Linked DNA regions of Arabidopsis thaliana. The protein of the gene in region 2 interacts with the protein of the main gene of each other region in a pairwise test. Each region holds a gene or a part of one and is shown on either strand. Other genes may lie near its edges.

Region 1 (4,127 bases), on a different chromosome or scaffold from region 2:
AGGATTAAATTAGCTAGGACAACTTTTTCAAAAAGAAAATTAACATGCCGAAATCATGAACGTCGTAAATCATCAAACAGCTAGGATTCGTTGTATCATACACTTAAAATGATTAGAGAGTTGATCTATTACTCTAGAGTTTACTTGCAATGATCTCAAACATAAAAATATTAAAACGTTTATTTGATTCCCTATGCAATGAAAAGTGAAGATCTTTATGATTAGCACGGAATTTTCCAAGCTTAACTTTTGACTTTTGTCTCCCTAATCATTCATTAATAACCACTTCATGTCTTTATAAAAAGCACCCCGTACGAAGTTCTTCACTCAAAGCTCCTCATACCATAGTATATTTTGAGCTTTCTAATCACATAGTAATAATTTTGAAAATGGCGATCCTAACTCCCGTCATTAAACTCGTTGTTTTTAGGCAAAGTCTACGACCACATTCTGCTATTGCATTCCTCGTTGAGTTTCTTTGCTTCGTCTTAGAATTACTCGACAAGGAGAAAGATCTAGCCAAAATATTCGGTATCGTATGTGCTTGCGACACATTAATCTTCACTTTGCTCGATCTTATCCAAAGTTTGATCGAGGAAGAAGTGAAAATACAAAGATGCGGCCGAGTGTTTTGGCTTTACACAAACGATGGGAGCCTCTATTGGCACACATTAAACGCATATCTTTTGATGTTATGCATTGTCCACGTCATCGGTTCCACGATCTCTTACGTTTCTCATAAACATTATCTAGTCTTGCTCCCGCTTTTCGCAGCCGGACTCGAACTCGTCCCACAAGAAGCCTATCGAGTTCTTGGACCGGATCAAGAGTCTGGAAATTCTATTGAGCCTCTTAATGGTCCATTAAATGGTATTGAGCTTGAACAAGGAATGGTTGTTCATGTTGAGCCTCTTCAAGAGCCACTAGATGGTATTGAGCTAGAGCAAGAACTCGTCCCACAAGAAACCAATCGGGTTCTTGGACCGGACCAAGAGTCACAAAACTGTATCGGGGCTCTTAATGACCCATCAGATGGAAAAGACCAAAACCTTCAAGATGATATTGTGCTAGATCAAGAGTCACAAGATTGTATTATTGCACCTCATCAATGTCCATTAGATGGTATTGACCTACAACAAGAAACGGTAGTTCACGTTGAGCCTCTTCAAGACCCACTAGATGGTATTGAGCTAGAGCAAGAAGTGGCTATTCATGTTGGGCCAAATGATGACCCATAAACTATTAGAAGCCTACTATAGAATGAAAGCTGAAACATTATATAGATGGAGACGTATGTTTAATGTAATGTACTTTGTCTTAAAAACTTATGTACTTATGATCGTACGACTTTGGTAGCTACAATGTAAGAGAATCTTTGTTACAAAAAAAAATCTATAAATAAAATCGACTCTTCAATGTCCCGTGGAGTCAGTGAAGGATAAACGACACGTGTGAACACGAAGGAAGATTAATAGCCGTCCGATGAAAATGGTTAATTTTGTAATTTTGACTCTTTCACGTGTGCCCTTTCCTCACCCCGAAAAATATTTTTATTTCCTTTTGTTTACACTTTTTGATTTCATTTTCAATAATAATAATATTCGAGTAGAAGAAGAAAGATCCAGACAAAAGCTTAAGCAAGACCTCTCTGTCTTCGTCTCTCTCTCTCTCTCTCTTTGTCTCCGCCATGACAAGCTCTTCATCTCCTTCACGCAAGGTTCTTAGATTCTCTCACTCTTGTCTTCTTATGTGTTTTTTGATTCTCCGATTGTGATTTTTTGAATTTTTGAGATTTGTGTAGGCGTTAAGCAAGATCGCGTGTAATAGGTTACAAAAGGAGTTATCAGAGTGGCAAGTAAATCCACCGACTGGGTTTAAGCACAGAGTTACTGATAATCTTCAAAAGTAATTTTCATTTCAAAATCTTTCCTTTTTTTGATTATTTATCATTTCGATTTTTGATTGTTTTTTTTGTTTTTGTGTGATTTAAAGATGGGTAATTGAGGTAACAGGAGCACCTGGTACGCTTTACGCTAATGAAACTTATAATCTTCAGGTTGAGTTTCCTCAACATTATCCTATGGAAGCTCCTCAGGCAAGTTTTTCATTGTGTTGGTTTTGTTCTGAAAAATTTGTTGTTTTTGATTAAGGGTTTATTTCAAATTTCTTAATTGTGGATTAATTAACTGAAACCAGAGTGTTTTTATGGTTGTATTGCATGTTTTAGGTCAGAGAATTAGTTTGAGATATAGTGACATTTTCTCTACTTGGTTTTGTGCTGTGTTCTGATTTTCATGTGTTTGGTTTTTGATCAGGTGATTTTTGTTCCACCAGCACCGTTACATCCTCATATTTACAGCAATGGACATATTTGTTTAGGTAATTTTACTCATTGTTTCTACACTACTTACTCTTTGCATTTGCTCTTACTTTTTGGTTTCTCTGAAATGCTAGCTCAAGTCATGTGTGTGTCAATCAAATTAGTTTATCTGTTTGATACTTACATATATAGGTTGTTCTTGTTCACGGAATGTAATGTAGCGAAAAGAGAAGCAATGTTAGTAACAATACCCTTAAGAGTCCTAATATATTATATCAACATTGTTACCAGTCTTAACCTTTTTCTCAGTCTGTCTCATTCTTAAAGAGTTCCTAATACTAGCGTCGCATGACATGAAATTAGGTGTGAATGTGTTATCAACGCCATAAAGAAAACCAATACCGTCCCTTTTGGACTCTATGGTGAATTCTTTAGCAAAATCAGAATCTGATCCATGATTATAACAGCCTCTCAATTTCTAGTTATATTGAAACTCCCTTTGGAATGTTGATCAAATAACTTGAAACTCCCATTTGAGTTAAAATCAAATAACACATTTTAGTTTTGCTGTTTTCACTAAACAATAAGAACATGAAAGTTTTATGTAAATTTCTTAAATCTGTTCTCAATGCATCTAAATCCGGTCTAATGAAATCGTGGTGGAACTGAACCATTTGTTACAATACATAATCACGATTATACCCGGCCTCATTTTAGGAGAAAGTCCATTAGGATTATGCGCTTAATATAACACACTCTCTAATTCCTTTTTGTAGATATTCTGTATGACTCATGGTCTCCAGCAATGACAGTGAGTTCAGTCTGCATCAGCATCCTCTCAATGCTATCAAGTTCCCCCGAAAAGGTTTCTACATTTGATCTCTCACACTTTGTATTGTTGTCACAAATTCAAACTTTTTGACCCTGCCACACAACTCTTACTATGTCTTATTGTCGATGACAATATCAGCAACGCCCGACTGATAACGATCGATATGTGAAGAACTGCAAGAACGGGAGGTCTCCTAAAGAGACAAGGTGGTGGTTCCATGACGACAAGGTTTAATGATGACGACCGTAAGATGTCTCTCCTTTCAGTTACAAAAGAGGTTTATATAATTTCCCAAGACTGATAATACTAATTGAAATTCCTCATGGCCTCCCACTTTTTTTTCTGTAACGGATCATTATGTATAAATGACATCTGAAATGTTTCAGTGTCTGAATTAACACCTTGTGCTTTTGTCCTTTCTGAAGTGAAAAACCATGGAGAGTTTAGGCAAAACGAAATTGTATTTGGCAATGTAATTGGATTGATAACTAGTTGGTGTAATGTAATTGAAAATTGAAAAACTAACATAACAATAGAATCCCCAAAGAGTAAACATAACCATGAACGAACAATTAGCATAGCTGCGAGTAATCAAGTTTGCAACAACATTTATTCACCACCACACATAAGAGCACATTTAAGGTGAAAAGACTCGGGCGAACAAAGGATTTATTAAAACACCAAACATATTTTAGCAAAATAGGTAAGAGAGAAAAGCAAATCAAGCAGCAGCAACAACTGTCTTGTGCTTCTCGAGATTGGCAATGATTTCTTCTTTAGCAGCACCAACCACAGTCTCCTTGATCTCTCCTTCTTTCATGAAGATAAACGTTGGCATTGCCTGAACTTTAAACTCCTCAGCAACAGTCTGCACAACAACATAACAAGCAAGATAAAGGCTCAGAGAAGTCAAAAATCCCTAAGTTTGGATATTGGGATAGTGTAAGATTGATGAAGGAAACTCACGTTCAATTC
Region 2 (6,536 bases):
TGAACTTGCACCCACATTTTTAGCCCCTCCATTACCTCCAACAAAACTAAGCGCACGGTTACCATTCCCACCACCCAATAACCTTGCTGTTGCTGACCGGAAACCGCTACTAGCTGTGGAACTTGACGAGGTCCCAGTTGGTGTCGATGGAGCAGGTTTATCCTTAAGGTGAGCTAGAGTAACCTGACACCAAAATTTCACAAATCCATTCTCAGAAACCACTTTCAAAACATAAAAATGAAATGTGCATTTGATATTCTTACACAAAACCTAATAGCAATTTCGTAATAGCAATCACAAGTGCAAAGAAATCAGATTGGATTAAACTTTCAATTCAAAAATAAACACCAAAGAAAACGAATCAAATCTTCACCTGAGTAACGGTTTTGCCATGAGTGTAGTGAAGAAGCCCAGAGGGATGCGTCTTCTCGTAGTGGAGCTTGTACTTTCCTTCAGGCGTCTTGAAATACGTTTTGATTCCCGGAGACTGAGGATTCGCCGCCGAAGCTGACGAAGAAGAAGGCCCAGAGATCATCCCATTCGAAGTGTTCATCATATTTGCTCACTTGCTCTTTCTCTAATTCACAAGCTACTTAGAGCATCCGATCATGTCCCTCCCAAGCTAGGGTTTACCCTTCTCCCACTACACAAAATCCAAAAATCTTCTCTTCTTCAATGCAAATTTCTCTAAACTCTGTTCATCATCGTCGCCAAAATCAAAATGGAACTTTAATACTCCTGGATTCGCCAATGGCTACTGGATCAAAAAGATTAATACAATGTGGATTCCGATTCGCTTCCTTTATTGCTTTCTTAATCATCCTCTTAACTCATCAATCAAATTGACTATTAATGGATAAAATCAAAGTCATCTCGATCAACGGTCAAGATCCCTTTAATCTCTGAGTTTCTCGAACCCTTTTGATACGTACAGCTGAGGCCCAAGTACAGTCCAAAAATATAGGCCCATTACTGAAGAACCATAGTTAATTAATAAATTGTTTAGTCGACAATAAGACAGTGAACGGGTTTTACCGGTAGCCGGTGAAGTTGGTCAGAGAAGGGATTAATGTCCCGGCAACGTCGTAACTCAACCGCTTTAATTTGATTTTTCTTAAATATAAACCGATACTCTTCATCGCTCAACCATCACCAAAAAAGAAAGCAATTTGTCTTCAAAACATATTTCTCTCTCTAAAACCTCTTTTTCATAAAAGGTTGCGTCATCTATACGAATCCATACGTCTCTTTGCTTTTCTCCGATCGGTCTTCTTTTCTCATCGCCGGAACGCTTTGGTAATGTTTCTCATTTCTCCGATCATTATTGTTGTTTCGCCGTTGAGCTGATTATTTCGTGTTGGTATGTATAAACAAGCCGATCGTTGTTTCCTTTTTTCTCTTGTGATTGTGTGATGATGGATTGTTTCTTTTTTTCGGTTTAATCCGGTTTATTCCCGGTTTTGCTGCTACATCGGTGACTTTTCCCACAATCTTCGGGTATGATCGCGATCATGTCCGTTAACCGGAGTCGGTTCTGATAATTTCAGACTTCGAATTTGTTCTCTTTCACGTAGTTGTTAGCTTTTTAAGATTCCGATACTGAGAAGAGACCAGCTCGGTGATTAGAGGAGATGTTGTAAGCTTTGTGTTTTGGTTAGCTGTTGATAATGTTGTTCAGGCTGCTACTTCAGCGATGCGGGTAAGCTAGTTTGGGATATAGTGTATTAGCATAACCTAGGCTTAGCTGGTTTGTATCCTGCAGGCTGCAGGTTTAGTGGCAATGGTGGTTTCTAGTTCTATCATACCTTTCTCCACCACGAACCTCTGGTAGTTGAGAAACTGGAGAAAAGCCTAATCAGTGATTCAAGTGTTTGGAAGATTTGAGAACTAGTACGGCTATAGTTTCAGGTCAGAATTCATCTTCCTCTTTGAGAACTTTTAGAAACTTTGAAATTATGGCATCATTCTTAAAGAAATTGCATTGATAACACATTTCAAACAGATGTTAGTTCCTCATGTTAGCCCATTAGGATTGGTGGCTGGCCTATCCTTGATGTATTCTGATTTGCGGATTGTGTTGTGGACCTTCTTGGTTGATTGGGAAAGCAAAGCGAACTTGAACTCAAGTCATCTAGAAGTTATTCTGATCCATAGGGGTAAGGAAATAACCATAACTAGTCTCTGCCATCACATGTGTACCAGAGTGTGTTTAGTCAGTTGAAGATGCTTGAGGTACGGTATCCATGAGTGGGGAACTTCAATCTTCCTAACAAACTACATCTATCATATAATGGTTTCTAGAGTGACATGCTGTCACGTACAAGCATTTGATTTGGATGCACAATGATGTGAAACATAATGCTAATTTTAAGAAAGCATCCTTTCACACAAGCCCGAATTCAGGAGTCTATTAAGGTGTGCTGGTGGGTTTGAAGACAATAAGAGCGCAGAAATAGTAAATGAGGTAGTAAGCCTTTGCAGGCTAGTACTTTTGTGGACTAAATCCGTTTATCTAAGGAAACTGTAGTGTATTCAATTTGTGGATCAGAGGAGAAGGAATAGAATTTGGTGTTCTCATTGTATTAGTGAAGTCAAGGGCCTAATTGCTTCCTGTTGGTCTACTTTAAAGGTGTGCAGAAATGATGAATCAGTGATCAATCAAGCACGACGGCTTTATCACTTGGGTAGTGTAGTGTATTCGTGGTTAGGACTTTCTAAACCTATATCCTTCTAGGATTATTTGCCTGCAGGTGCACTTTTGAGGGTTTCGGTTCAGAAAAATATTTTAAGCTTAAGTCCTGCTATTGGATTTTCCATGTAATTTTCTTGCTCATGTCATCTATGGTTGTAAGTTTAGTGAAATACATGTACAAGGCCTTTACTTGAATATAAACGAAGAAGTAGTACATTGATAGAAACTGAAAAGATGATATCAAGTGTTACCTATTTTGCATGAACTTGCTCTGATGCTCTTTTATGCGGATACAGTATATGATAATTTGCCATCGTGCCTTATTCTTTCATCCTCTTCTATTTCCTAATCAGTTTCCTATAGACTTTTCTGTAAATTCTATAGACTTTTTGAAAGTGTGTAATTTGATGAACTCCTTGTATTACTCTTCACTTTTGATGGCTCTGGTTTGGAGAGTCGAGAACCTTAGTGATACTTTAAATGCAAAGGCTTCTTAGTTTCCCAACCGTGCTTGTTTTCTGCCTCTCTTTTCTTTTGGTTTAAAAGAAGTATGTCTGTTGTTATTGACAAACTCTTCTATGTAAGTTTTTCTTATGAACTAAAAGATCTGTACTATTAAGGTTTATTTTTCATGTATAAGCATCATGAACTTTCCTGCAGCACAGAGCCTAAGTCCACAAAAACTTGTTTGCTTATGATATCATGAGATCTGAGGTATATAATATGGTAGGTACATGTTACAAAGGTAATGGTACTAGAGCTTGAAACTATGGACTGATTTCTTATATATTTACTTGGGAAATTTGGCTATCAGACTGAAAGTAAACTATGTTGGTTGGAAATTATAGATTTTTTTTTTTTCTGAGCTTGCGGATGTTTTCCTGGGATTTTGAATGGTGAGAGAAATTTTTGTGCAGGTTTAATGGGGCACAGACATTTTCTTGGTTCATCCCAGTTTTTTGATGATGAACATGATCAAGGCTGGAATCATACACACCCAGAACATCCATATTCGAGTCAAGGTAATTAGTCCTTCATTCTATAGTTCCTTAATCTGTTTTTTATTTATTGAAATTTGGTTGATGATGCATGTTTAGTTTTAGGGTAATATGTTCCATATTTCTGATTAATTATTGTCCATCCCACATTTTCTCAGCAACATCTGGGACCAGTGAGAACAGATCACATGTTTATCCAGCAGAAAACATGTTGAATGAAGGAATGCCAGTGTCTTCTCATTGGAACTCTTCTCCAGGACCAAATGCTTATACTGACTCAGGTCATAGTGTGGAGAGACCACACTACAATCCGGGGGTTTCGGGGCCGTCCCATGATCCTTCCGTGAATTCAACAGTTCCAACTTTCTCTGCTCCACATGAGAATTATGTGACATTTGCATCTTCTTCAAGCTACAACAGCCAGACATGGTCAAATGCTAGTTATGTTGATCATCAATCTATGGAAAGTGTGAGAGGAGCACAAAAGAGAAAACGACCATGTCCTTCTTCCATCTATGAAATGGGTAGTTCAAGCCAATATCACGGTGACAGAACTCCTGCAGACACTCATTTCCCCTCGGAATTGCACTTGGGAAAATCAATAACGCATGATCATGACCCTCATTACATGCCATGGCTTATGAACCCAACTTACAGAAGTAATAATCTCTCGATCAGGGGAGAGAGCTCTTCAAGGAATGTCCGGAGTCGTCCTACACTTGATTCAGAGACCAGCTTAGGTAGAAATAATTTGCCAAGAAGCTTGAGCCTTGATTCTCATTCTACACACCACCACAGTGTTGATCATTATGGCTCAGGTCAATTTCCTGGTCAGACATCTCACGGAAATAAAGACTGGAACTGTGCTAGATTGTCCCCAGTTCTTAGAGGTATGCAAAGTTCACTTTGTCTCGATATCTGAATCGTCTTTGTTTCTAATAATCACATTAATTCCCACTTTGCAGATATAAATGGCTTTAGTCCAGAGACAAATAATTTCCTTCCTGCAAGAAGTGTTGTCAACAGCTTATCTGTTAATACTTCCGGCTATCATCACCATGAGCTTACCGGAAACAGAAACCCTACAGTTTCCCACGGGGTTCCTGGAACTTCAACACTATCTACAAGCAGCAGCCGCTTCTCTCATAGGTCAACATCCACCTATAGATCTTCTTCACACGGTTCGCGATCGGGACATGTAGCATCTTCTTCTGGAGACAGGTCTCATTTGGTCACTGAGACTTATCCGTCTAGGCATTTAAGGCCACCACCACACATTTCATGGCGTAGCGGTGATCGGCCAGGGAGACGCAGAAGTTCCTATGAGAGGTTTCAGCCTCCTTTCGATGAAGTTGCTCTCCACGAACGGTTTTCATCTGAGGTATATATTTCCCTTACAGATGCATTATTTAGAGTGGAAGTCTGTCTAAATTACATTTAGTATTAAGATAAAGATCAAGCCGATATGATACAGTGCATATCGAATATTAAGATATAGATTTGCAATCTTATCATTTTCTGCTGCATGCTGAACTGTAATCTGTTATTTTTTGGGGTGTATGTAATAATAGGAATTCATGGTTGAAGATCGCCAACCACAATACTACGGATCCAGAAACATGCTTGATCACCACAGAGACATGAGGCTTGACATCGATAACATGAGCTATGAGGTTAATAGCCAAACACTTATCTTTTGAAGCCTCACATAGGCAAAACGAAAAGTTTTGGTACTGACATATATATGCAGGAACTCCTTGATCTTGGAGAAAGGATTGGGAGTGTCAACACTGGTCTATCCGACAGCGCAATCTCCAGTTGCTTGTTAGCAACAATGTATTATCCATCATATCAAACAGAGGAGCAAAGAAAATGTGCAATCTGCCTGGTAAGATTTAGTTTTTTTTTTTTTTTTCACAACCTGGTAAGATTTAGTTGTCTGAAACATTATGTGTCTATAAAGTTAGAAGTAGGCTAACTTAAGGGTGATGTGGTAATTGGTAAACAAATAGGAGGAGTACAAGGAAAAAGAAGAGTTAGGGGAAGTTAAGGGGTGTGGTCATGACTACCATGGGAGGTGCATCAAGAAATGGTTGTCTATGAAGAACTCTTGCCCTATTTGCAAATCCCCTGCTTTACCTGATGCTTCTAAGAACTCATCATAAATTATAGGTTATCTTTTATGTGTGCATGTTATATTCATTTGTCTTTCGAAAGGAAGAAAAATATGTGACAGAATATAACATTAAGTTTTCTTAGTGATTAATAGTTGTAAATAGAAGAAAGTCCAGGATCTTTCTCAAGGGTTAATATATATGTTAATTATTGGAAAAGGCTCTCTTTGGAAAATCTGGATTTGTTACAGATGCAAATAGTTACACAACACTTCACACTATATGGTATTTCATCTTCAAAGAGAAATAAGATTGACAAATAAAGAGATGATATAGTCCTTGAATTTTCCTTGTGGATGGGTGAATTCTTCACCGGTCCTGTAGGTCACATCTATCATTTTTCCAGCATTAGTGGCCCGTGATAAGATATCGCCTGATATTATCTTCCTTGACTTCAAGTACACTTCGTTCACTGACTTGGCCGTCTGGATTTAAGCCACTCATAACTTTTTCTTCTAGCAGTTTGTACCAACCCAAGAAAACTGCATGAAACAGTTACATACATTGACACCTCAACACCACCAATCTCCAAGTACTCATCGAATGTAGGCACGATGTCTCCTTGTGCCCACTCTGCATAGCTAAGGTTGGCCTTTGAGTATAGTTTGAACTGCTTAATGTTTAGGAGCATATATACAAAAAGATGTTATGTCTATGATAATCTCTTTATGT

What was found.
Region 1: the proteins of AT2G37150 (region 2) and UBC18 interact in a two-hybrid assay, tested with the Arabidopsis thaliana proteins (one large-scale study listed by BioGRID).

The regions. Positions count from the first base shown.
Region 1 is NC_003076.8:17,243,465-17,247,591, reverse strand, and holds UBC18 (ubiquitin-conjugating enzyme 18), read left to right. Parts: upstream 1-1,603; 5' UTR 1,604-1,687; coding exon 1,688-1,717; intron 1,718-1,801; coding exon 1,802-1,905; intron 1,906-1,992; coding exon 1,993-2,095; intron 2,096-2,315; coding exon 2,316-2,379; intron 2,380-3,096; coding exon 3,097-3,185; intron 3,186-3,290; coding exon 3,291-3,386; 3' UTR 3,387-3,605; downstream 3,606-4,127. Other genes in the region: AT5G43000 (uncharacterized protein), read left to right, coding at 390-1,238; TRX3 (thioredoxin 3), read right to left, coding at 3,874-4,020, 4,119-4,127. UniProt on the Arabidopsis thaliana protein: Accepts the ubiquitin from the E1 complex and catalyzes its covalent attachment to other proteins.
Region 2 is NC_003071.7:15,603,067-15,609,602, reverse strand, and holds AT2G37150 (RING/U-box superfamily protein), read left to right. Parts: upstream 1-2,002; coding exon 2,003-2,156; exon of another isoform or gene 2,157-3,394; coding exon of another isoform or gene 3,395-3,437; exon of another isoform or gene 3,438-3,609; coding exon 3,610-3,714; intron 3,715-3,848; coding exon 3,849-4,580; intron 4,581-4,655; coding exon 4,656-5,071; intron 5,072-5,261; coding exon 5,262-5,363; intron 5,364-5,440; coding exon 5,441-5,578; intron 5,579-5,702; coding exon 5,703-5,855; 3' UTR 5,856-6,022; downstream 6,023-6,536. Other genes in the region: AT2G37160 (Transducin/WD40 repeat-like superfamily protein), read right to left, coding at 1-270, 374-556; AT2G37140 (Terpenoid synthases superfamily protein), read right to left, coding at 6,274-6,477.